Callithrix jacchus: one gene and its partners. The protein of the gene in region 4 binds, or shares a complex with, the protein of the main gene of each other region. Links are inferred from orthologs where the notes say so. Each region holds a gene or a part of one and is shown on either strand. Other genes may lie near its edges. The genes, in order: GTF2F2, ERCC2, POLR2G, GTF2F1, CTDP1 and GTF2E2.

The links.
Region 1: GTF2F1 (region 4) and GTF2F2 share a complex: the UniProt entries of both Homo sapiens proteins name them as parts of the TBP-based Pol II pre-initiation complex. The link is inferred for Callithrix jacchus from reciprocal best matches to the Homo sapiens genes GTF2F1 and GTF2F2.
Region 2: GTF2F1 (region 4) and ERCC2 share a complex: the UniProt entries of both Homo sapiens proteins name them as parts of the TBP-based Pol II pre-initiation complex. The link is inferred for Callithrix jacchus from reciprocal best matches to the Homo sapiens genes GTF2F1 and ERCC2.
Region 3: GTF2F1 (region 4) and POLR2G share a complex: the UniProt entries of both Homo sapiens proteins name them as parts of the TBP-based Pol II pre-initiation complex. The link is inferred for Callithrix jacchus from reciprocal best matches to the Homo sapiens genes GTF2F1 and POLR2G.
Region 5: the proteins of GTF2F1 (region 4) and CTDP1 are in contact, whole or in part, in an NMR structure (PDB 1ONV), measured with the Homo sapiens proteins. The link is inferred for Callithrix jacchus from reciprocal best matches to the Homo sapiens genes GTF2F1 and CTDP1. Residues at the interface, in NP_002087.2 of Homo sapiens: Thr470, Lys471, Leu474, Gln478, Ser486, Thr489, Val490, Leu493, Ala494, Leu497, Lys498, Leu500, Asn501, Pro502, Arg504, Met511, Phe513; in NP_004706.3 of Homo sapiens: Ala946, Asp947, Met949, Ala950, Lys951, Ala952, Leu953, Glu954, Glu956, Leu957, Asp959, Leu960, Met961.
Region 6: GTF2F1 (region 4) and GTF2E2 share a complex: the UniProt entries of both Homo sapiens proteins name them as parts of the TBP-based Pol II pre-initiation complex. The link is inferred for Callithrix jacchus from reciprocal best matches to the Homo sapiens genes GTF2F1 and GTF2E2.

What each region holds. Positions count from the first base shown.
Region 1 is NC_133506.1:164,327,290-164,331,589, reverse strand, and holds the start of GTF2F2 (general transcription factor IIF subunit 2), read right to left. Parts: upstream 2,801-4,300; 5' UTR 2,656-2,800; coding exon 2,590-2,655; intron 1-2,589. UniProt on the Homo sapiens protein: TFIIF is a general transcription initiation factor that binds to RNA polymerase II and helps to recruit it to the initiation complex in collaboration with TFIIB.
Region 2 is NC_133523.1:39,539,601-39,543,100, forward strand, and holds part of ERCC2 (general transcription and DNA repair factor IIH helicase subunit XPD), read right to left. Parts: intron 2,500-3,500; exon of another isoform or gene 2,316-2,499; intron 689-2,315; coding exon 619-688; intron 533-618; coding exon 463-532; intron 355-462; coding exon 253-354; intron 1-252. UniProt on the Homo sapiens protein: ATP-dependent 5'-3' DNA helicase. Component of the general transcription and DNA repair factor IIH (TFIIH) core complex, not absolutely essential for minimal transcription in vitro.
Region 3 is NC_133511.1:120,037,547-120,041,708, reverse strand, and holds the start of POLR2G (DNA-directed RNA polymerase II subunit RPB7), read right to left. Parts: upstream 2,801-4,162; 5' UTR 2,730-2,800; coding exon 2,718-2,729; intron 2,584-2,717; coding exon 2,474-2,583; exon of another isoform or gene 2,191-2,473; coding exon of another isoform or gene 2,162-2,190; intron 915-2,161; coding exon 755-914; intron 1-754. UniProt on the Homo sapiens protein: Core component of RNA polymerase II (Pol II), a DNA-dependent RNA polymerase which synthesizes mRNA precursors and many functional non-coding RNAs using the four ribonucleoside triphosphates as substrates.
Region 4 is NC_133523.1:6,031,203-6,035,459, forward strand, and holds the start of GTF2F1 (general transcription factor IIF subunit 1), read right to left. Parts: upstream 2,801-4,257; 5' UTR 2,647-2,800; coding exon 2,635-2,646; intron 2,551-2,634; coding exon 2,504-2,550; intron 1,694-2,503; coding exon 1,621-1,693; intron 1-1,620. UniProt on the Homo sapiens protein: TFIIF is a general transcription initiation factor that binds to RNA polymerase II and helps to recruit it to the initiation complex in collaboration with TFIIB. It promotes transcription elongation.
Region 5 is NC_133514.1:121,980,888-121,984,387, forward strand, and holds part of CTDP1 (RNA polymerase II subunit A C-terminal domain phosphatase), read left to right. Parts: exon of another isoform or gene 1-88; intron 89-707; coding exon 708-1,745; intron 1,746-3,133; coding exon 3,134-3,275; intron 3,276-3,421; coding exon 3,422-3,500. UniProt on the Homo sapiens protein: Processively dephosphorylates 'Ser-2' and 'Ser-5' of the heptad repeats YSPTSPS in the C-terminal domain of the largest RNA polymerase II subunit. This promotes the activity of RNA polymerase II.
Region 6 is NC_133514.1:31,806,037-31,810,320, reverse strand, and holds the start of GTF2E2 (transcription initiation factor IIE subunit beta), read left to right. Parts: upstream 1-1,484; 5' UTR 1,485-1,694; intron 1,695-1,759; exon of another isoform or gene 1,760-2,388; intron 2,389-3,043; exon of another isoform or gene 3,044-3,063; intron 3,064-4,284. UniProt on the Homo sapiens protein: Recruits TFIIH to the initiation complex and stimulates the RNA polymerase II C-terminal domain kinase and DNA-dependent ATPase activities of TFIIH. Both TFIIH and TFIIE are required for promoter clearance by RNA polymerase.

The DNA of each region.
Region 1 (4,300 bases), on a different chromosome or scaffold from region 4:
AAAGTTTCCCTAACTCCTAAGCTTCATTATCATGTACCTAGCATCCTGTGATTTTTTTTTTTTTTTTTTTGAGACAGAATCTCTCTGTCGCCCAAGCTACAGTGCAGTGGCACGATCTTGGTTCACTGCAACCTTCACCTCCACGGTTCAAGCGATTTTTCTGCCTCAGCCTCCCGAGTAGCTAGGACCACAGGCATGTGCCATTATGTCTGGCTAATTTTTGTATTTTTAGTAGAGACAAGGTTTCACCATATCGGCCAGGCTGGTCTCAAACTCCTGACCTCGTGATCTGCCCACCTCAGCCTCCCAAAGTGCTGGGATTATAGGCGTGAGCCACCAGGCCCAGCCCAATCCTGTGATAATTTTCTAATTGTGACTCTGGTTGCCCTCCTCTCTAATTCGTACTGCACACTGCCAAACATTTTTTTTCTGAATACCTGGCGTCGCTACCTCACTCAAGTCCTCCAAAAAGTTTGTTACTTCCTTGTAAACTAAAGTTAGAACATTTCCACTTCATGACATGACAGTCTGAGTATATGGGCCCAACCTTTATTTACACAGATCTTCTGCTCTAGGGTCTGTTTTCCACAACATGCCAAAACATGCCATGTTTTCCACGATTACGTATTTTGAGTCTTGCATTTCTGTTCCACTCCCCATGGTATACACCATGTCTACCCATCCAAATCATGTAAGGCAAACATTGAGCATTTACCATGCTCCTAGGACAACGGCACCATCTCCAGTCACACTATGTTTTCAAGCTTTTTCCTTCAGTCTGCAAGGATCATCTCTTCCTTAGTGACTCTCCTCCAATTAACATGCTGCTGGAGCGAGAAATGCCTATTTAATCCATTCTTTTTTTTTTTTGAGACGGAGCTTCGCTCTTGTTACCCAGGCTGGAGTGCAATGGTGCGATCTCGGCTCACCGCAACCTCCACCTCCTAGGTTCAGGCAATTCTCCTGCCTCAGCCTCCTGAGTAGCTGAGATTACAGGCACGCGCTACCATGCCCAGCTAATTTTTTGATTTTTTTTTTTAGTAGAGACGGGGTTTCACCATGTTGACCAGGATGGTCTCGATCTCTTGACCTCGTGATCCACCCGCCTCGGCCTCCCAAACTGCTGGGATTACAGGCTTGAGCCACCGTGCCCGGCCTATTTAATCCATTCTTTTAAGTCATACTGAGCTTTGAAATAAGTCAAATGAGTGCCACAGACTAAGGCAAGGGTTGAAGAGTGAGAGGTCAGGCATTTATTCATCACCTGTTTGTTGAATAATTACCATGTGCCAAACACTATTCTGGGTAAACAGGCAAAGATCCTGTTCTCACGGAATGCAATTTTGTGTTGGAAAGACGAAGGTAACCAACTTTTCACATATTAACACAAAATCACTCTACACCGTGAAAAGTGCTTTGAGGAATGTAACATGGATATGTCATGTTAGCAAATGATCATAAGGGAGCTCTTTTAGGAAGACCGACAAGGAAGACCGCTTAGATATAATTGACGAGAACTCAGCCATGTGATAAAATAAGCGAAAGCATTAAGAAACCAAAAGTCCCTACATTTTAAGTTTCAATGAGTTTCAGGATCACATGTCGAATATGCCTAAGTATTATGAGCCTCCCCTAGGAGACAACACTCCCCAACATGAAACAGTGAAGCACGAGTAGTGCCCACTGTGAGCTAACCAAAATCGCTGTCTTTACGTAAAACACTTACTGATGGTCAGTTTCACGAGACCCAATTGTGCTCTAAAAGAATATTCCAGGCCGGGCGCGGCGGCTCACGCCTATAATCCCAGCACTTTGGGAGGCCGAGGCGGGTGGATCACGAGGTCAAGAGATCGAGACCATCCTGGTCAACATGGTGAAACCCCGTCTCTACTAAAAATACAAAAAATTAGCTGGGCACGGTGGCGCGTGCCTGTAATTCCAGCTACTCAGGAGGCTGAGGCAGGAGAATTGTTTGAACCCAGGAGGCGGAGGTTGCGGTGAGCCGAGATCGCGCCATTGCACGCCAGCCTGGGTAACAAGAGTGAAACTCTGTCTCAAAAAAAAAAAAAAAAAAAAAAAAAAAAACAAAGAATATCCCAGTCCAATGACGTCTCCTGCGAGTTGAGAGCTGTCTCGCCTCTTTTCGGAGCTCCATTAAGGACCATCAACCTAACACAACACTTTAAGGGTACGCATGGACCGGTTCTACTTTCTCGCCGAGAAAAATGTACAGAAAACAGACATTCAACTACCCCACACAGGCTCATGGCTAAAAGCAGTTTCACCAAGAGAAGACACAAGGAATTCTTCGGTCCTAGATAAAATGCACCGTCCAAACCGGGGACATCAGGACGAGGCTCCAGGAAAGCCGTGAGAAGAAGAGACGAGTCCAGGTGGATTCAGACTCGTAACTGGCGCGCCTAAACGGATTTCCTCATCTGCAAACATACAGCAATGCCTCCTGCCTCTCAAAGTACGTGAAGCTCTAACGAGACAGCCGTAAAAGAACTTTAAGAGGCGCACGCAGCCGGATGGGTTCAAGTTACTTAAACTATACTCGTGTTGGGAGGAGCGCGCAGCGAACGTTACCTTGACAAGCCACACTCCCGTGTTCTGTTTGGCGCCGGTCAGATCGAGTTCCCCGCGCTCGGCCATGGGTCTGCCGCTGGTGGAGGCGCGCGGGCTGTAGCAGCGACCCCAGGAGCCGGAGGGCTGCGGAGCGAACGTCCGGAGCAAAGCGCTAAGCCGCGCTGAGAGGTGAAGAGCCGGCGTTTCTCACCGGCCCGGACACCGGAAACCCGCGGAAAGGGGAACACGCCGCCGGGAGCTGGGATTGCGCCTGCGTATTACTACGTCAGTACGGCGCCCTGTTGCGGACAAACTTCCTGTGTCGGCAATTTCTCGGGTGGGCGTGGCTGTCAGCGATGTCTATCAGAGGGATTGAAACTTGGTTGGGATGAGCCAAAACGTTAGCAATGTATTTAAAGACAAGGTCAGCATAACTGAAGAAAAAGATTATCAGAATGAAAAAATGGGGTTCAAAGAGACAAGAGCTGTCAGAACATGTCCAGTCCTAGCCAGAGAGAGGAGAGAGAGAGAGAGACAGTATTTGAAGGGCAGGATCTGGGTAGCAAATGGGCGTCCTTGGCCAACGTCATTAGCACAGGTGGGCACTGGGATCAGACTGGGTAGCCCTGGTACTGAACACATGCCGTTTCTAGACCTGAAAAGAAAGCGGTGTTTCAGCTCGGAGGCTGCCTGAGCTCTTCTGATTAAGCGAGCAGAGCACCTCAGACTCCAAAACCCGGAGGTCTGTGAAGAAATGAACAAGTAAGAGACAAACTTGGTCGTTTCCTCCCCTGCGTAAACGATGTTCTCTTTCTCTTCTTGCCTCTGGAATAAAATTCAACCCTTCTGCTTCAACTGGGCCCTCCACCACCACCCATCACTCCACCACCCACCCAACCACACCAAACCCAGCAGACTTTCCTGAACACGTCAGAATCTTCCTCGGTCATTTCAGAGCCTCTGCACACTGGATTCCCTTCCCTCAGATGCCCTGTTTTACCCCTACCCTCATTCCCACCCCTGTCCTCTGGTTGCCAAACTCCTACTTGTAGTTCAAGACCAACGGAAATGTCACTTCCTGTGACACCTTTTATCAACTCCCCCGGAAGAAATTAGTTTTTCTTCACATCACGCTGTGATACTTAGCACTCTGCACTGTAATATGTATGTTTACATGTCTGCCTTTGCTTTCCAGACTATGAACTGGTCCTAGGCAAAAAGAGCCTTATTGAGGTATAATTGACAAATAAAAAATAGTGCTTTATTCATTTTATCTCCACAATGTCTAGTACAGTGTTTGATACATCGTCAGATTTCAGTAGGCTTTGGTTGAAAGAACATTCGCTGAAGAGAAACAATAAGGTATTGTTAAGAATGGCAAGTAATTTTTTGAGTCATACATCAGAGCCATGAACAAAATTGAGGAAATTTTACGTATGTTCAGCATAGGGCCAGGAAAAGCTGTCAGAACTCTACAATTAGCTAGCAAAACTAATAGGAAAGATGGGAGAGACTGGGAGTGTGTTGAAAATGAAAGTTTCGGCCATGTGTGGTGGCTCATGCCTGTATTCCAAGCACTTTGGGAGGCCGAGGCGGGTGGATCACGAGGTCAGGAGTTCGAGACCAGCCTGGTCAACATAGCAAGACCCCCATCTCTAAAAACAAGAAAAAGAAAAAAAATTTAAGTAGAAAATGAAGATTTCTTCTTGTGCAACAACTTGGGAAAGGGCCT
Region 2 (3,500 bases), about 34 Mb from region 4:
ACCCCAGTTCTCTCTCTCAATTCTCTCAACAGCCCTCTGTGATCAGGGAGGACGCATCCCCATTTCACAGATGAGAACACTGAGGCTTGAGAGATGCACCCACAGAGAGGCAGAATCAAGCCTAGGTCTGTTTGAATCCTGAACTCGGGCTGTTCTGCCTGAGCAGTGGGGGAAGCCAAGGAAGGAAAGAAGGAAGGTGGCCCCTGGCTCCCATCTCACCTCCTGGCCCCAGCCTCAGCCTCTCCCACTCACCATAGGGCAGAGGCAGACCCGAGCCAGCGTCATGGTGAAGGTTGCCATGGTGACAGGGTGGAAATCCAGGATCTTGGGGTAGATGTCCAACGGGGACAGCGTCTGTAGTGGGGACAGTAGTGGGGAGAAATCTCAGCAGGACCGGGCAGGGACCAGGAGACCCATGGAGGAAGGCCAGGGACTGGGAGGGGACAGGGGAAGGGTCCTCACCCCAGATGTGATGATGACAGACTGGAAGCGCTCGAATACAGGTTTGATGGCCAGCGAGGCGTCCATGCAGCTGCAGAGAGGAGAGGGTGGTGAGGGCCCGGCGGGCTGGGCCCCCCACCCACAGTACCTTCACACCCCCACCAGGCAGGATCCCACCTGAAGTGCAGGATGGGGTTGGCAATGGTTGGGGTTCTGTCGTCAAAGGGCTCGATGATGATGGTGAAGCCTGCAGAGGGCGGGCAAGGGCAAGTGATTCCCCCCATGCAACCACAGCTGTGCCCACTCAGTCATTCCCTCTCCTGCTCCACCCCAATCCCCATCCCGCACTGCACAGGACTCAATGGGTCCAAACATCAGCTGCTTAAGCCCCAAACCCAGGCATCCGAGTCCAAAACACACCCCAACCTGTCAGCCTCTCCACAGGGCCCACATCTGTGCAGACTGTCACAAAGGATCCCAAGCAGACTGTACCACAGCCCTGTCCACTGCTCACTCTCCCAGCACCCACACCAAAGCCAGGAGCCAGAGCCTCATGCCTTCTCCCAAGACCAGTTCTTACTTATTTTTGAGATCACTTTATCATTCAGGCTGGAGTGCAGGGGGCCGATCTCAGCTCACTGCAACCTCTGCCTTCCAGGGTTCAAGCGATTCTCCTACTTCAACCTCTCGAGTAATAGATTACAGGTAAGCACCACCTACCCAGCTAACTTTTGTATTTTTAGTAGAGATGGGGTTTCGCCATGTTGGCCAGGCTGGTCTCAAACTCCTGACCTCCAGTTATCTGCCTGCCTCAGGCTCCTAAAGTGCTGGGACTACAGGCATAAGCCACTGTGACTGGCCTCCCGTGACCTTTCTACCTAAGCCATCGGCTCTGCCTCCAAAACCCACCTGCAATCAGACCACTGCTCCCAACCCTACCCGGGGCCAGCCACCATCACCTCCTGCCTGAACCATCATGCCCTGCTCACTTCATGGCAGCCAGAAGGGACCCTATGGAATCCTGAGTCCGGCCATGTCACCTCCCCACCCCAAGAAGCCTCCCATGGCCCCCACGTGCCTTTAGCATGTCTGACCTTCAAAAAACTGCAGGCTCAGTGCCCCGAAGACCTTTACACTTGCTGATCCCATGTGGCCTGGAAAACTCCTAAGTGGCCCCACTTGGTCATCTGAGACTGCTCAAAAGTCAGCCCCTCAGAAAGGCCCTCCCCAGACACCTTTTCTGCGCACACATGTTCCAACAGAACTTTTTTTTTATGATAACTGTCACTTTCCGGAATCATTTCCTCTTTTATTTTACTACATCTTTGCTATTGGTTTTCCTCTCTGAAATATAAGTTGCAGGGGGGTAGGAATGAGATTTTTTTTTGGTTCCTGCTGCTTCCACAGTGCTGAGCCTGGCCCGTTTGTTGAAGAAATAAATGAATTAATTAACTTATATATTCAGTTTCACACAGCGAAAAAAATAAGTCCTCTGTGCTGGGGACACAGGGGTGACCAAGCCAACTTTGCCCCTGCTCGCACAGACTCGAAATCCAGTAGGAGGCAGAATTGTACCCAGATGGTGATGACTGAGTGGGCAATGCTGGGATAGAGGTGCCTAAAGGAGGGGCCTGACTCAGGCTGGGGGTCAGGGAAGGCTTCCTGGTGGCGGAGACATCTCTACAGAGCTGAGAACCTAAGGATGAGGGGGAGGTGGCTGGGGGGATGAGGAAGATGAGGAAAGACACTGCAGGTGCAAGAACGTAAAGGGCTGGCAGATAGGAAATAGGGGGTAGAGAACGACAAAGGCAGGGATGGAAGGTGGGGCAGGGCAGGACAGGCAGAGGCAGCGGCCAGCAGGCTTTGCTACTAACCAGCCCCAGGGCGGGGGCCCAGGTCTCCATCCTCCTGCCAGGCCCCACTGAAGGACATTAGCCCCAACCCAGTGTCCTGGGTAGAGGAGAAACCCCTAGGAGGCAGACTGAGCCCCTGGTCAGCTTCACAGTGAGGATGCGGAGGGAACACTGCCCATAAAGCCTCCGGAACCACGCCCCTCTCCTGCAACATGGAAATCTGAAAATCAGCCTCAACTCCTCTTGTCCCAGGTCCCACAACCGGGAACCATGCTCCCCACATCCCAGCCTCTACCTCCCACCTCTCTCTCCAAACCACACCCATCTCTCTCCCCATGGCTACACCCTGGCCACGACCCCTCCTCCCCTGCTCAGGCCCCCGCCCGCCACCCAGTCTCCTGCCTGCTTCTAGTCCCTGAAAGAAATTTTTTTTTTTTTTTTTTTTTTTTTGAGATGGAGTCTTGTTCTGTCGCCCAGGCTGGAGTGCAGTGGTGTGATCTTGGTCACTGCAACCTCCACCTCCCAGGTTCAAGTAATTCTCCTGCCTCAGCCTCCCAAGTAGTTGGGATTACAGGTGCACGCCACCATGCCCAGCTAATTTTTGTATTTTTAGGGGAGACAGGGTTTCACCATATTACTCAGCATGGTCTCGAACTCCTGTCCTCAGGTGATCCACCAGCCTCAGCCTCCCAAAGTGCTAGGATTACAGGCATGAACCACCACGAACCTGGCCCCCAGAAGAAATCTTTCTAAAGCACAAATCTGGGCTGGGTGCAGTGGCTCATACCTCTAATCCCCACACTTTAGGAGGCCAAAGTGGGTGGATCGCCTGAGCTCAGGTAAAACCCTGTCTCTACTAAAAATACAAAAAAATTAATATGGTGTGGTGGTGGGAACCTCTAGTTCCAGCTACATGGGAAACTGAGGCAACAGAAGGGCTTGAGTCCCAGAGGCGAAGGCTGCAGTGAGCTGAGATCGCACCACCATATCCAACTTGGACTACAGAGTGAGACTCTGTCTCAAAAAAAAAAAAAAAAAAAAAATCACAGATCTGACCTGGCGCCTTGCTTGCTAGAATCTGCTATGGCTCCCCAGCGCCCTCAGGAACACAATGACCAACTCGTTACCGGGCCCTCTAGTGTGAGCTGACCCCAGAGAACTTCTCTGGCCTCATCCTCACTCTGCAGCCCAAGGAAGTCTGTGAAA
Region 3 (4,162 bases), on a different chromosome or scaffold from region 4:
TCAACCCAGGAGGCAGAGGTTGCGGTGAGCCAAGAGCATGCCATTGCACTCCAATCTGGGTAACGAGCAAAACTCCGTCTCAAAAAAAAAAAAAAAAAAAAAAAAAAAGATTTGAACACTGGTTGGGCACATGATCTTGACCAGTACACTTAACTTAAGCTTCAACTTCTGTAAAAAAGCACCCACCTTGTAAAATCACTGTGGGTCTCTGCACATTACCTGGCCCATAGTAACTACTCAGTCAATGCAGGCTTCTATTGTTATGACTATAAATGACTCCCTTGCCCTCTGAGTCACACAGGGCCAGATTGCCATACAATTTTAAAGTGAAGCACAAGAAGTAAAAGTTACTGGCCAGGCATGGTGGCTCACGCCTGTAATCCTAGTGCTTTGGGAGGCTGAGGTGGGCTGACTGAGCTCAGGGGTTCAAGGCCAGCCTGGGCAACATGGCAAAACCCCATCTCTACCATAAAAAAAAAAAAATTAGGCAGCCGTGGTGGCACATGCCTTTAGCCCCAACTACTCAGGAGGCTGAGGCAGGAGAATCGCTTGAACCCGGGAGACAGAGGTTGCAGTGAGCCAAGATCGTGCCACTGTACTCTGGGTTAAAGAGCAAAATTGTCTCAAAAAAAAAAAAAAACAAAAACAAAAAGTAAAGTAACTTAGCTGAAGGCACAGAGTTATCAAGTGGAGCCAGGACCCAACGACATCTTCCAAGAGACTACCCCACTGGCTCCCCTATGTATGGTCTCACCTTGTTGACCTGCGTGACAACAGCATCCACGACTTCTCCTTTAAAGGGCCGGAAAACAATGGCCTTGTACTTAACTGGATAAAGGACGAAGCCTCGGCCTGGCTGGATCACACCAGCACCGATATTGTCAATGGTGGTTACAGCGATTACAAAGCCATACCTGCAAGGAGGAGGAGAAACAAACGGCATTTTGTGTCCATGAGCCTCTAAAGATTCTGCAGTAAAAGTCACTGAGCTTTTGGGAGGAGGGTCAAGGAGAACAAAAGGACAAGTTGCTAGCACCTCAGTTACCAGAGCTTAATGACCAAGAGAAGACAGGACACAGATCAGTATGTATTAGGCCAAATGCTGCTCTGATAATTTCACAATAAATGTCCAAGATGGCTGGAGACCTTGAGCCAACAGGGGCCAATCTTTGGGATGCCTGAGAATCATCTTATTAAAATGCAGACTCTCTGGCCCAGCACGGTGGCTCATGTCTGTAACCCCAGCACTTTGGGAGGCCGAGGCAGGTGGATCACCTGAGGCCAGGAGTTTGAGACCAGCCTGGCCAACATGGAGAAACTCCATCTCTACTAAAAATACAAAACTTAAGGCCGGGCACAGTGGCTCACGCCTATAATCCCAGCACTTTGGGATGCTGAGGCGGGTGGATCACGAGGTCAAGAGATCGAGACCATCCTGGTCAACATGGTGAAACCCCGTCTCTACTAAAAATACAAAAATTAGCTGGGCATGGTGGCGCGTGCCTGTAGTCCCAGCTACCCGGGAGGTTGAGGCAGGAGAATTGCTTGAACCCAGGAGGCGGAGGTTGCAGTGAGCCAAGATCACACCATTGTACTACAGCCTGGGTAACAAGAGCAAAACTCCATCACAAGAAAAAAAAAACAAAACAAAAATTAGCTGGATGTGGTTATGCACATCTGTAATCCCAGCTACTTGGGAGGCTGAGGCAGAATGGTTTGAACCCGGGAGGCAGAAGTTGCAGTGAGCCGAGATCGTGCCACTGGACTCTAGCCTGGGTGAGAGTGAGACTTCCATCTCAAAAAAGAAAAAATAAGCAGATTCTCAGGTCTGCCCCAGAGAATCTTGATTCTGTAGGAAACAATGAGGTTCAGGAATTTGCATGTTCAAGAACCACCCCAGGTTTTTCTGATGCTGGAGACCCAAGTAACTCCACTGCCCTGGGCTGGGTCATTAATACCACCCTGGGAGAGGCTCCTCTGCACAAAGCCCAGAGATGTTCAAGTCCCAAGCTGCTTCCTTCCTCCCCCAACTCGATCTGCCTTTTCTGGTCATTCATTCAGAATATATATTGAGGCCCATGGTGTGTGGTCCCTGGGCACAGGGGATAAGAGAAAACCAGCAGAATGACAGAGGGAGAGCAGACACAAGAACAGTAATTACACTGTGGACTCCACGAGGGCTGGTCTCATTCTATCTTGTTCTCAGGGCCCAACACGGGTCCTGGCACACAGCAAGGATTTTTTTAACATGTTTGAGGAGTAAATGAATGATTAATTTCAACGGAGGGAAGGAAGTCTTATCGGCCAGCATTGCAGAGGGAGTCCTGGGAACCCAAAGCAGGAAACAACTGGCAGCCTGAGAGAGTGAGAGAGGTCCCCAGAGTGGGTGGCAGGACGAGCAGGAGCTGGGGAGGGGTTGCAGGTATAGCGCCTCGTGTGTGCGATCTGGCTGCGCGGTGAAGTCGGCACTCACTTCCCGGTGCAGGTCCCCTCCACCTCGGTGAAAAGCTTCTGCTTCACCGTGTTGAGCAAATTGGGGCCGAAGTAGCGCGGGTGCAGCAGGATTTCGTGCTCTAGGGAGATCTGCGGAGAAAAGTGGGATGGCGACCAGGCCAGGCGCTGGGAGGTTATCGGGCAAGAAGGGGCCCCTCGCGCCGGCGCCCGGCTTTGCTCCTCCTTCCCACCCAGCCCTTGCTGCCACCCTGAGCCCTGCTCACGTGGTAGAACATCTTCCCAGAGCAGTCTGCGAGGCTAAATCCACACCTCTTGCCGCCTCCGGGAATCCACCGGAAGCACAGATAGCCTCAGCAACCCCAGTTCCGGGCCGGCCGCGACAGAGGGAGGAACTCCACCCCCTTCGCGGGTTTGATTGGGCCTCGCTGTCGTGGGCGGGAACCACTAAAGCCACGCCCCTCGCCCGCCCAACCTGGGCCTCAAAAGGCAATTCTCTTAATGCACAAACTATAACAACCACTCAGTAAATACTTATAACGAGATTAATTAGTGAAAGAATCCATAAGTCAAGCGCTATAACAGAGTGCAGCAAATCGATTCAGCAAATATATATCTACACATGTTTGTTGGAGGCCCAAGTACTTCACTGCCCTGGGCAGAGAGAGAGTCTCTGTTGTCCAGGCTGGAGTGCACTAGCGGGATCATAGCTCACTGGAGCCTCCAACTCGTGGCCCCAAGCGATCCTCCCATCTCAGCCTCCCAAGTAGTTGGGGCAGCAGGCGTGCCACCACGCCCAGCTAATTTTTAAAAATTTTTTTTTGTACAGACCGAGTCTCTGTGTTGCCCAGGCTGGTCTCCAACTCCTGAGTTCAAGTGATCTTCCCGCTTCAACCTCCCAAGATGTTGGAATTATAGACATGAGCCACCACACCAGACCTTTGTCTTTCTTTTTTCTTTTCTAAGAGAAGGGATCAGTCCGGGCGCGGTGGCTCACGCCTGTAATCCTAGCACTTTGGGAGGCCGAGACAGGTGGATCACCTGAGGTCAGGAGTTCAAGACCAGCCTGACCATCATGGTGAAACCCCAACTTGAAAAAAAAGGGGGGGGCTGGGCGCGGTGGCTCACGCCTGTAATTCCAGCACACTCTGGGAGGCCAAAGCGGGTGGATCACAAGGTCAAGAGATCGAGACCATCCTGGCCAACATAGTGAAACCCCGTCTCTACTAAATACAAAAAAAATTAGCCGGGCATGTTGGCACATGCCTGTAATCCCAGCTACTTGGGAGGCTGAGACAGGAGAATCGTTTGAACCCAGGAGGCAGAGGTTGCGGTGAGCTGAGAATGCGCCATTGCACTCCAGCCTGGTTAACAAGAGTGAAACTCCATCTCAAAAAAAAAAAAATTAGCTGGGCGCAGTGGCAGGCGCCTGTAATCTCAGCTACTCTGGTGGTTGAGGAAGGAGAATCGCTTGAGCCTGGGAGGAGGAGGTTGCAGTGAGCTGAGATTGTGCCACTGCACTCAAGGCTGGGCGGCAGAGCACAACTCCATCTCAAAAAAAAAAAAGTTGTTGGAATCCCAAAAACCACTTTAAGCCTCGAGAGAGATGTGACTTCGAGTCACATACAGTTTACAATTTCTGTTCTCAGATTATAGATCAACTCACTTTCTTATTTGTCTTGTTCTCTACATTGACTAGAAAGACTTAAAT
Region 4 (4,257 bases):
GAAAATAAAGCGACCGGGCGCGGTGGCTCAAGCCTGTAATCCCAGCACTTTGGGAGGCCGAGGCGGGTGGATCACGAGGTCAAGAGATTGAGACCATCCTGGTCAACATGGTGAAACCCCGTCTCTACTAAAAATGCAAAAAATTAGCTGGGCACGGTGGCACGTGCCTGTAATCCCAGCTACTCATGAGGCTGAGGCAGGAGAATTGCCTGAACCCAGGAGGCGGAGGTTGCGGTGAGCCGAGATCGCGCTGCACTCCAGCCTGGGTAACAAGAGCAAAACTCCGTCTCAAAAAAAAAAAGAAAAAAAGAAAGAAAGAAAATAAAAAGGTCAGGCACAGTGGCTCACACCTGTAATCCCAGCACTTTCAGAGGCCAAGGTGGGTGGATCACCTGAGGTCAGGAGTTCGAGACCAGTCTGACCAACATGGTGTAACCCCATCTCTACCAAAAATACAAAAATTAGGTGGGAGTGGGGGTGGGCACCTGTAATCCCAGCTACATGAGAGACTAAGGCAAGAGAATGGCTTGAACCTGGGAGTTGAAGGTTGCAGTGAGCTGAGGTCGTGCCATTGCACTCCATCCTGGGCAACAAAAGTGAAACACCATCACAAAAAAATAAATTTAAATAAATAAAAAGAAATTCATTGTGCCAAACTTGTTGACAGTAAGACACCAAAATCTCTAAAATGTAACCATTAATCATGACCTATGTGGCCAATAAGGTCCCAATTACCCTTAAGCTCTTGCTTCAAGGTCCATATGTACCATTTCCAAAACACTCTAGAATCCAGCCACATCTCATCACCTTCACGGCCTCCACATCCCCAGGCCAGGACTCACCTAGACCAGTCAGCCCAGTTGCTTCCACCCTGTTCTCCCTTTATCCGCCCTCAAACCCACAGTTTGCCTCCCCACAGCAGCCAGATCACAATACAACTTCCCCGTGGAGGATGCTTTAATGGCTCCCACAGTCCTTTCTAGAGCCTCTGATGGCAGGGGCTCTGGGGAAGGCCCTAGCCCAGTCCCCTCCCTCAGCCAGATAAACCTTGGCAAAAATGGCCATCAGTGGGCACAACTTCTAAATGTTCTCCATTAAGGAATGGCCTCCTGTGGTCCTACTAAACGTAACTTACAGGGACACCCAGGAGCTTGGCCTGGGCCTTTGCCATCTTTTTTTTTTTTTTTTTTTTTTTTTGAGACAGGTCTTACTCTGTCACCAGGCTGGAGTGCAGTAGTGTAATCATAGCTCACTGCAGCCTTCAACTCCTGGGGTCAAGTGATCCTCCTACCTCAGCCTCCTGTGCAGGACTACAGATGCACACTACCACATCCAGCTAATTATTTTATTTTTGGTAGAGATAGGGTCTTGCTATATTGCCCAGGCTGGTCTTGAACTCCTGGCCTTAGGCAAGCCTCCTGCCTTGGCCTCCCAAGTGCTAAGATTACAGGTACAAACTACTGCACCCAACTCTTTGTCATCTACCTTATCTCCACTTGGGAAAAGTGAGAAAATTAAGACTTAGTTACTATGACAGCTAAGCAACTATTACAACCACCAAGGTCAGGGTCAGGTTCTCTCACCACCCCAGCCCCCGACCCCCAGGACCCAGGGACTTACCTGATTCCACGTGGCAAAGTTGACTTTATCAGCTGCATTAAAAGCCATGATGTTATATTTTTTGGTTGTATTCCTAGAGTGGATTAGAAGAGATAGAGCCAATCCAATACATCAATTCAATTCAATCATTAATTTAATCAATCAATGTGAACACATCATTAATTCAATCAAATCATTAATTCGATCGTTCCATTCAACTGAACCATTAATTCAAGCATTCCATTCCACTGAATCATTAATTCAGTCACTCAACAAACCCACCCTGGTTCATTCAGTCTGTTTTGCCTGTCAACACTGGATACGGAAGACTGCAGGAATCCCAGTCTGCCAGAGAAGCTAGACCCCATCCCCTCTTAACTGCGTGCAGACGAAGAACAAATGGAGGAACAAAGATTGGGAGAAACCCAAGATGTGGAGATTATTGGGAACTCAGCCTTGGGGAGGAGGGAGGTCAGTCAGGGAGTGCTTCCTGGAGGAAGATGATACTGGAGCTGAGTTTTGCAGAATCAACAAGAATTCACCCAACAGAGTCACCGTTTGGGGGCTGAGGGGAGGCACTCATGGCAGAGGGAACGGGATGTACAAAGGCCTGGAAAGGAAAGGCAGCCTGCTCGCTTTGAAAGAGGACGAGACAGCCTGGGCATCATATGCTCTCGAACGTTAGGCCAGGAGGCTGAATCGTGCTGTGTATTAATGCACTCATTCATACAAAAAGCAGTGTTTGCCTCCAGAGAAGCCTCAGCTTAATCGCAGCCCTGCCCTCCAAGTCCCCCGGTCTGGAGGGAGAACCACAGACAGGGCCAGAAACGTCAGGCTAAGAGGACCGTAAAGGTTTTCACTTTTGCGGGGTGGAGAGGAGTGGGAGATGGGGTAGGGGATTTACTTCGGAACTCGAACGACGTATTCAGTGACATTCTGGCTGCTGGGGCCCTGCGGAAAGAGGAAGCGGACGGTGAGTAAGGTGCCGCCGAGGTCGCCGCCGGGACCCCCGAACCCCGCCAAATCCACACTCACTAGGGCCGCCATGGGCAATGGTCAGTGGTTCCGTGGTCCGACCCGGGTTCCTTTCTTCTCCTCTGGCTAGCGCGTCCCTCGATCTCGGGGAAGCCGCCGTTCCTTGTCGGGTCTCTGTTCCGGTCCCCGTGTGAGGATTCCTACCCTAGGCGCCTCTGGCACTGGGAAAGGGTAACCGGAAGAGGCGTTCAGGTTATTCCGTCTACGCCTCCGCGGCCGCCTAACCCGGAAGCTAAACCCTCCAGCGGCCGCGTCGCGATGGCAACCTTCTAAGCGGCTGTGGCTACCTCAATGCGCCGTCACTTATGTTCCTCGGCGTCTATGGCCACCTCAAAAGAGCCACCCCTGCCCCTTTTCAGACGCAACAAGGCCGAGTCTGAGATCAAATAACCGGCCTTGGTCGCTGATGCTCCTATGTACAGTGCGGTCATCAAATGTGGGACCGCCCTCCTTCGTGACGTCAGCACCCAAGGACCGCAGGGCATCCTGGGTGGGAAGAAGGAAGCTAGTCCTCCTTGCGGGCTCCCAGGCGCTTTGCGCATGCGTCATGCCGCTCGGGACTTTGGGGCTTGGAAGGCCGCGTCACCATAGCAACTGAGGCCTACTCGGGTCCAGTCGAACTGCCGCTTGGCTCCCTATGGGCCTGTTTGGGGTTCGTTTCCTCTACCTGCCCAGAAGGGGTGGACCCCGTCATTCCCGCAAAATGACCGGAGCGGGGACCCTTGTGACGTTGAGCCGAGCCAGGAGGGGTCAGAGCCTGCCCGGAATCGGGGCGCGACCACCCCAAGGGCTGCTGGCGGGATGGGTCTCTGCAAGTCCAAGCTGCCCCAAATGGGCAGGGCTCTGAGGCCCCCGGAGAAGAGTAACGTCGTGGGGGTGGCTGGCTGGCTTACTGGGGGGAAGGGAAGGAGGCTGCAGAGGACGGGAGGGAGGTGCAAGTTCCCCTACCCCATTCCAGGCGTGCACACACCCCTCAAGCCTGGCAGTAACACAATTGCGCATGCTCACAGCACAACCATTCATTGCTCTAGTTCGGAAATACTCAAGCACGCTGCTGGGTTCCGGGCTCCGCCAGGTGAATATATCAAACCAGCTCTCTGTCCTCTGCGGGTTACAGTGTCGTGGCGGAGACTCATAAAATGGGAATCTACAACCCAGGAAGGAGCAGGAGAAGCACAGCGGGGCTCTGAGGGCTCAGAGAAGACGGGAGGTTTCAGTTGGCCACTGAGGGATGCATAGGAGTTGTAGGCTACGCAGAGGGAAGGGGAACAAGACATGTCTGGTTTCATTTATTCCTCATCCACTAAATGTCAAGAACTGCCAACTCCTCGGAATGTAGGAGTGAGAGAGGCAGAAGTAGTCTGGGGTGTAAACTTTTTAATTCCTGTAGTGGGTTAGTGTAGGGGGTAGACCCCATAAGTTCTGGGGAGTCAGAAGCCTCAGAAATGTCATTAATTTATATTCCCGGCCGGGCGCGTGGCTCACGCCTGTAATCCCAGCACTTTGGGAGGCCGAGGCGGGTGGATCACGAGGTCAAGAGATCGAGACCATCCTGGTCAACAGGGTGAAACCCCGTCTCTACTAAAAATACAAAAAATTAGCTGGGCATGGTGGCGCGTGCCT
Region 5 (3,500 bases), on a different chromosome or scaffold from region 4:
GTGCACGGTGGTCCGGCTGGGCGCTGGCCAGGGCCCCAGAGAGCGGTGTGGTTTAACATGTCAGGCAGGTGTGCAGCTGGCGTTCACCCTGTGAAAAGTTAAGTGTTTTTGATGTTTATTTTTTAAAAAGTATTTTGAGGCATACATTTACTGCTGTAGTCACTAAAATGGAACTTGGAGGTTAAGACCAGGAGAGAGGGGAACTGGAGGCATTGCCATAGAGGTGGGGACTCACCAGATGGTGAGTCCTCCGGAGCGACGTCCTCCGGAGCGGGGCTTGATAAACCGTGGCCATAGGGTGCCAGGTCTGCAGCCCAGAGCTGGGAAGCAAACCTCCAGTGGTCCCTGGAGGTAGAGGATCCCTCATCCCCCAAATCCAGAACTTCCTGAGTACCCACATAGTGCTCAAAGGAAAGGAAATACTCATGTAGCATTTTGGAGTTTTCAGACTTGGGATGTTGAACTGGAAGTTTAATGCGAATACTCCAAAATCAGAAAACAAACTCGATATCCAACACATCTCTGGGCCCATGTGCTTGGGGTGAGGGGTACTCAGCCCTCCCGGCTCTGCACAGCACCTTTGCCAAGGCCTGGTCTGGGGGTGACTGAGAGCTCTCGGCTGTGGAGAGGGTGCTGCTTTAACTTTGAACGCTATTTAATGTTGAATGCTGAATCGTGGTAACTTTTCCTTTTGCGTGCATATTTAGTAAATCATTCTTCTCGAGGCACCGAGGTCTCAGAGCAAGCCCCGCCCGTGAGAGACCCTGAGGAGGGAGCACAGGCCCCTGGAGTGGAGCCCAGCAACGGCCTCGAGACAGCAGCACGGGAGCTGAACGGCAGCGAGGCTGCCGTCCTGCAGGACTCACCCCGCCCTGGGAAGCCAGATGAGAAGGACACCTGGCCCCTTGCCCAGGCCCCCGCTGGCAGCCGAGAGCTGGCAGGTGCTCTCGAGCCCCAGGGATCCTGTGCACAGGGTGGCCGGGCAGCACCGGGACAGCGGCCTGCCCAGGGTGCCATGGGCACTGACCTGGACTTTGACCTATCCAGTGACAGCGAGAGCAGCAGTGAGTCGGAGGGCACAAAGTCCTCCCCCTCGGCTTCTGACGGTGAAAGTGAAGGGAGGAGAGGCCGACAGAAGCCGAAGGCTGCCCCAGAGGGAGCTGAGGTGCTGGTGCAGGGCAGGCCCCTGGAGGCAAGCCGGCCTGCAGGGCCAAGTTCCCTTGGAGAGGCCGAGCCCAGTGCACACGTCCCGGACAAGGGGCCCGAGCTCGGTGGGCAGGAGGAGGGCGAGCGGGACAGCCTCTGCAGCCTGGGCAACGGCTGTGCCGACAGGAAGGAGGCGGAGACCGAGTCTCAGAACAGCGAGCTGTCGGGCGTCACCGCGGGCGAGTCCCTGGACCAGAGCATGGAGGAGGAGGAGGAGGACACGGATGAGGATGACCACCTCATCTACCTGGAGGAGATCCTGGTCCGTGTGCACACCGACTACTATGCCAAGTACGACCGCTTCCTCAACAAGGAGATCGAGGAGGCGCCAGACATCCGCAAGATCGTGCCGGAGCTCAAGAGCAAGGTGCTGGCGGACGTGGCCATCATTTTCAGTGGGCTGCACCCCACCAACTTCCCAATAGAGAAGACGCGGGAGCATTACCACGCCACAGCGCTGGGAGCAAAGATCCTCACTCGGCTGGTGCTGAGTCCCGATGCCCCTGACAGGGCCACGCACCTGATCGCCGCACGGGCTGGTGAGTGCCGCCTCCCTCCCCACACCCTGGGCATGCGTGGTCAGGCCCGCAGACTCCTTGCCAGCATGCCTTAGAGTTGACATTGCTGTTTATCTCACGTTCAGTTTTCAGAAATGTTTTCCAGAATCACCATCTTTTAAGAATAGATCCTGACATTGGGTGAAATTCAGGTTTGGGCACGTTCATGCTTTCGGACCACAGTCATCGCCAATGCACACCATGCCAGGTGGCAGGAGTTACTAGTGTGTGGGGCAGACAGTTAGAAGCTCCTTCCTGGAGTAAGAACAGGGAATCAGCAATGGGGCGCAGTGGAGACACTCCAGGCAGGAACAGGAGCTGGGGACTTCAGTTCACAGGTGAAAGGCGGACAAACCCTCCGAGTTAGGAAGCCAAGCACAGGGTTCAGCCGAAGTGCACACAGAAGGATGGACGCGTGGTGGCTGGAAGAGCGGAGGACGGGCCACTGTCCCCCGACGGTGAAACCTGCCCAGACAGGACAGGCTGCCGTGTTTGAGACTTCCACCGAGTAAAACAGAACCTTTCAGCGATAGGTGAATCTTGAAGGAAGGCTCACACCTCGTTGCTTAAAAAACCCAAATACCTAGTTACTGTGTTAAAATACTCCCATAAGCACCTTGATCTTTCCCAAGTGAAGGTTGCTTGAACGCCTTCAGGTTCTGCTCCTCCAGTCGTCGTTTCTCTCCTGGCCACGTGTCCTGAGAGGGCTTTTCAGTGCTTGGCCCTGCCTCTGTGGCTCCTGTGGCTGTAGGGTGAGCTCATCCCCGGCCACGCAAATGCTCCCTGTCATTTGAGGTCACGCCTCCAGCGTGTATCTTGTGGCGTTGGACAAGCATGTGCTCAGTAAGCATTTGAGTCAAGGGTGAAATGGAAGGTTCCATCTCAGTGTGAAATAGCTGGGTGCTAGCTGCAGGGTGGAGGCAGGCTCTGTGAGTCCCAGGAGGAAGCTAAGCCTCGGCCCCGTGGGCAGTCAGGCCCTTGTGTCCTGACCATGGAGCTGAGACAGGCCGGGGCCTCCACAGCCCCTCGAGTGCCCGTCTGCTGTGCTCTGTATTTGCCCAGCTCCTGATCCTCCTCTCACTTCTCCCTTCCCCAAATCGTGCTTACGTTTCCGTTTTGCTTCCGTGTTAGTGGCCTCACTGCTGAGGGGCTTTCCTGAACACATTAAAGGGTCCTCTTGTTGCTCACGTCACCCACTGCGTCCAGCTCCCTGTCCACGATCCACCCTCCCCACTCCAGCCTTACCTGTCTTTCCCTTCCCACCATGGCTGCTTGTCCCTGGCCTGGGAGATGGGCACCTGTGATGGGCAGCCCTAGTGGGGTGCAGCCAGGTGAGCGCCCTGAGCCTGACTCAGCCCGGTCTCCCGCAGGCACAGAGAAGGTGCTGCAGGCACAGGAGTGTGGGCACCTGCACGTGGTCAATCCTGACTGGCTGTGGAGCTGCCTGGAGCGCTGGGACAAGGTGGAGGAGCAGCTCTTCCCGCTCAGGGACGACCACACCAAGGCACAGAGGTGGGTGCTTCCAGTCCCTGCCAGGCGGTCTCTCTCCAGGTGGCTGTTGCTTCACATGCCTGGGCAGTGCCCGCTGGGAGTCCCTGCATGCCTGCCCTGCATCGCCTGGATACCCGCTCACAGCCCTTGTTCTCTTCCTCCTACAGGGAGAACAGCCCCGCGGCCTTTCCCGACCGGGAGGGTGTGCCCCCCACTGCCCTGTTCCACCCAATGCCGGTTCTTCCC
Region 6 (4,284 bases), on a different chromosome or scaffold from region 4:
TTTTAATACATACTGAATTCCCTGCCCCTTTCTCCCCTTACTCCTCATCAGTTTCCTACTAGTTCTTTGATTTTATCCTTTTGTAAATATTCTCGGCCCTAATCAATTGTGATTCAAACAAAGTTACATTTTCTGTGCATGTCAGATGATCATCAAGTAGGCTTATTACAAAATTCTCTAGAATGAAACTAATCAAAAAGATCACAAAATATTGTCTTTCAACTTTTTTCTCCAAGTTTTGAATAAAATTTTAGGTATTTTCTCATTTAATTTTCACCACAGTCCAGTGCAAGTAACTCATTGTAGTAGTACAATGATTATCCCCATTTCCCAGATGAGAAACCAAGCCACAGGTTCAGTAACTTGAGGAGTAATCAGTAACAAGTAATTAAATTAGAGCCATAGAATGGCTGAGAGCTGGCTGTACTACCACTTTAGGTTACAAGACTGAGGGAAGTTCTCCACGCTGCAGGGTTCGGGCAACGACAATTATTTTTCCAATTGCTTTATTTTCACCCATTCATCGTGCTTCTGAATCCAAAATCCTTTCCTAAGACAGTTCACAAGGGCGGAGCCTGGGCTGGGCTCCACATCAGGCTGCCTTTGCTAGTTATGCTGTCTTGAGAAAGTTGTTTATTAATTAGCTTTCTGGGCCTCTGTTCTTCGCTGTAAAAGGGCTGGAACCGCCTTCTCGGAGGGCAGGTGACGGTGGGTGGCACTGGGGTAGTCACAAAATAACCGTTGAGGCCGGGCGGGATGGCTCACGCCTGTAATCCCAGCACTTTGGGAGGACGAAGCAGGCAGATCACTTGAACTCAGGAGTTTGAGACCAGCCTGGGCAACATTGTGAGACACTATTAATACAAACAATAACAACAATAACAAATATTGCCCGTCCTTGTGGCACTCGCCTTTGATCCCAGCTACTCTGGGGGCTGAGGTGGGAAAATGCCTTGAGCCCGGGAGGCGGAGGATCATCACAAACCAAGTCTCCAAAAGGTAGCAAAAGAGAGGGAAAGTAGAAAGGTTGAAAGAGGTTAAATGGTGGCAGGAATCGTGGGCTTGGAGCCCCAGTGAGCCGAGACAGCGCCACTGCACTCCAGCCTGGGCGATCGAGTGAGATCCTGTCACTAGTAAGAAAAAGACAAAGAAATCAAAATAATCCTTGAAAGACAAGAGTCGCCGATTGGGTTCACCACAACCCAGCGCACTCCGGGGCAGGCTGTAGCAGCTTTAATTAAGCGTCCGTAAAGAAAGCCCCCTTTCCTCATCCCTGGCACCGCCTCCCATCTCAGTCCCCTCCTCGGCCCCGCCCCCAGCATTCCCTCGTTGTCATGGAGCCCACAGGACGCCCGAGCGGGCTACTTCTGCTCCCGCGGCACCCAAGACAGGGCACGCAATGACGCATGCGCGCGCTCGGCGGCCATGGCGCCGCGGTGGCTGCTGGGACTGAGCTCTTAGCACCCGATCGGGAAGTGGCGGGCGGAGTCCCGGGTCGAGTCGCCGCCTCAGCAACCACCGCCGCTGCAAGTGGCGAGACCCCGACCTGGCGGGTCCCCGCTGGGGGAGCGTGCGGGCAGGCGGGGGCGCTGACGAGGAACAGGAAGAGGCTGCCGTGCCGGCGTGGGCGGCTGGCCGAGGCGTAGGCGGAGGGAGGCGGTGGCGAGTCGCGCGGGGCTGCCCTAATCACTCAGGTAGGGGCTGCGGCCGCCGGGTGAGGGGAGCGGAGCCCCGGCCTGCTGTTCCCCGGGACCCAGGCGCGTCGCCGCTTCCCGGGGGGCCGAGCGTGACCTACACCCCACGGGAAGCTGGGGCCGCCGTTCTCGACGCGAAACACCCAACACGCGAACGGTTCCCCCAGCATTGTCTTTAGGCCGGAGGTTCATTGAGCAAACTTTTGGATTGGGAAGAGGGAAAATTCGCGGTCTGCTGACTGTGCCTTCAAGCCTCCAAGTTCACGGGCGCGGTAGCCAAGCGAACCGCGTGTGGAGTTTCGGGAGCCACGGTGTTCCAGCCAGCTCAAGGCTGTGATTTAGATTCTCATACGCGAACTGGTTTCTAGGCTACCTTTTGGAGAGTTGGTTTGTGATGATTCCTAAACTTTAACGGTAGTAATTGACTTCTGCAGTCTAAAGATGTTTTCCACACAATAAGGCTGCGGCCCCCTTTTCGCCCACCTCCCAACTGCTGTCATTTAAAGGCGAAGCAGCCCGATGTTCATAGCCGGGTGCTGAGGTGCCCTGGACACTTCTGAGGCTTGGAAAGAAGCAAAAGAGAGGGAAAGTAGAAAGGTTGAAAGAGGTCGAATGGTGGCAAGAGTCGTGGGCTTGGAACCATCAGCTTTTCGTTTAATTTATGGGTTTTCCATATCTACCCACGGAGAAACCGGTGAACATTTTGAGTTGTGGTGGTAGTTTGTTTTGTTTTAATGTAAAATGGACATAGTGATGTAGCTTGTTTACTACACAGGTGGGTCCTGAGATCTTAAACTTAGTACAAATATTGAGTAGTCTTTGAAAAAGGAGGAGAAGTTAGAGCATGTGATGGTGAAAGACATCGCGAAGCCTTCTGCTCTAGGTGCCTTTGAATGTTCCAGAACCTCGTAGGTCGCCTTTGTTTTAAAGGCCTTTACCAGCGTTCCAGGTCTGGTGTAAGGAGCATTCGACTTAAGAGTCAGGAGGTTTGGGTTCTGACCCTGGTTCTTCCATCGGTGCGACCTTTAATCAGACAGCTTCACTTTCACATTTCACGTATTAAAATAGGAATAACACTAACAACTTTTCGCTCCGAGAGTTGCAAGGGTCAAATATTGTAAGCATTTAGTTTGCTGTAAACTGTACGGGTTTATTTAAGTCTTCTAAGGTCATTTTTTAAAAGTCTGGATTAAGGTCCTGCCTTAATCAAAGGTGAAATTGGATTAAGGTGAAATAAAACACAGATTTTTTTTGTTTTAGGAATTTACAATCTGCTTGTTGCCCCCACCTTCTCAATTGATAATTCTCCTTTCTTCTTGTCCTCACGTTTTCCCTCCTCCCAAGGCTGTCTCCTATCTTCCTCAGCCCGGTAAATCATTCTCTTATTTTTTTTCAGATCCAACTCAAAATAGTAATACTAAAATAACATGTTTTTATGACTTTACTATTTAAAAAATAACGTACACATTTTCTCATTCTTAAAATTGGGTTGGATCGTGGACAGCGTTGGCAGCGTCTTCATTTTACTTGTGAAATTGAGTGTAGTGGCCTTGTGGGTTGCCTAGCCATGTGGCTCTTAGGAATTGAAATGAGGCAGGCCGTGGTGGCTCTGCCTGTAATCCTAGCACTTTGGGAGGCTGAGGTGGGTGGATCACTTGAGGTCAGCAGTTCAAGACCAGCCTGGCTAATGTGGTGAATGAGCCCCTCTCTACTAAAAATACAGAAATTAGCCAGGTATGGTGGTGCACACCTGTAGTTCAGCATCTCGGGAGGCTGAGGCAGGCAGGAGAATCGCTTGAGCCCAGGAAGCGGAGATTTCAGTGAGCTGAGATCACACCACTGCGCTCCCACCTGGGCAGCAGAGAGAGACTGTTTCAAAAAAAAAAAAAAAATTGAAATATTTATTTTTCCATGCACACTTCAGAATCATTTACAAACAAAAACTTTGTTTAAATTTTGAAAATATGTTAAATGTATGCTCCATATATTAAAATAATAACTCAAAAAAACTGAGAGAAGGCAGGTTTTTGATTCACCATCCAGTGATTCTTCACGCCTTAACTGAAATTCACTCTGATTATTCCTTACTAATGCTTATATTTTAAGTTTTTAGCTCAAGGCTTTCATTTTCTCAAATCTAAGCAGCATGCAGACTAGGATTTATCCTCCATAACCTTTCAAAGCTTAGAGCACATGCCTTGCAAACAGAAGACACTTAATAAAGGCGTGTGTAACCAGTAATCATGGGACCAGAGCAATTAAAAGATCTTGTTCCATGTGTTGTTCATTTAACAAATATTTATTGAGCTATCCTGTGCTTAAAAGCTTTCAAAGTTTGAGTCTTTTTCCTCCCAGCTGACACTAGTCTTAACAGTGTCAAATTCATTTATATAGTCAGCTTGAGGTCTTCCTAGACCCTCTGCAGGGTACTAGCAGAGTTCAAAAGAAAGGAGTGTTTAGAATTCTTGTTGGTTGACCTGTAGCTTCCTTGATTGTACTGAAATTGCTTAGGGTTGTAGTTTTAGAACCGGACAAACAGCCACAATATAGAAGTTGTTTCAGACCACCTCCAGATTGGAAATTTTCTATA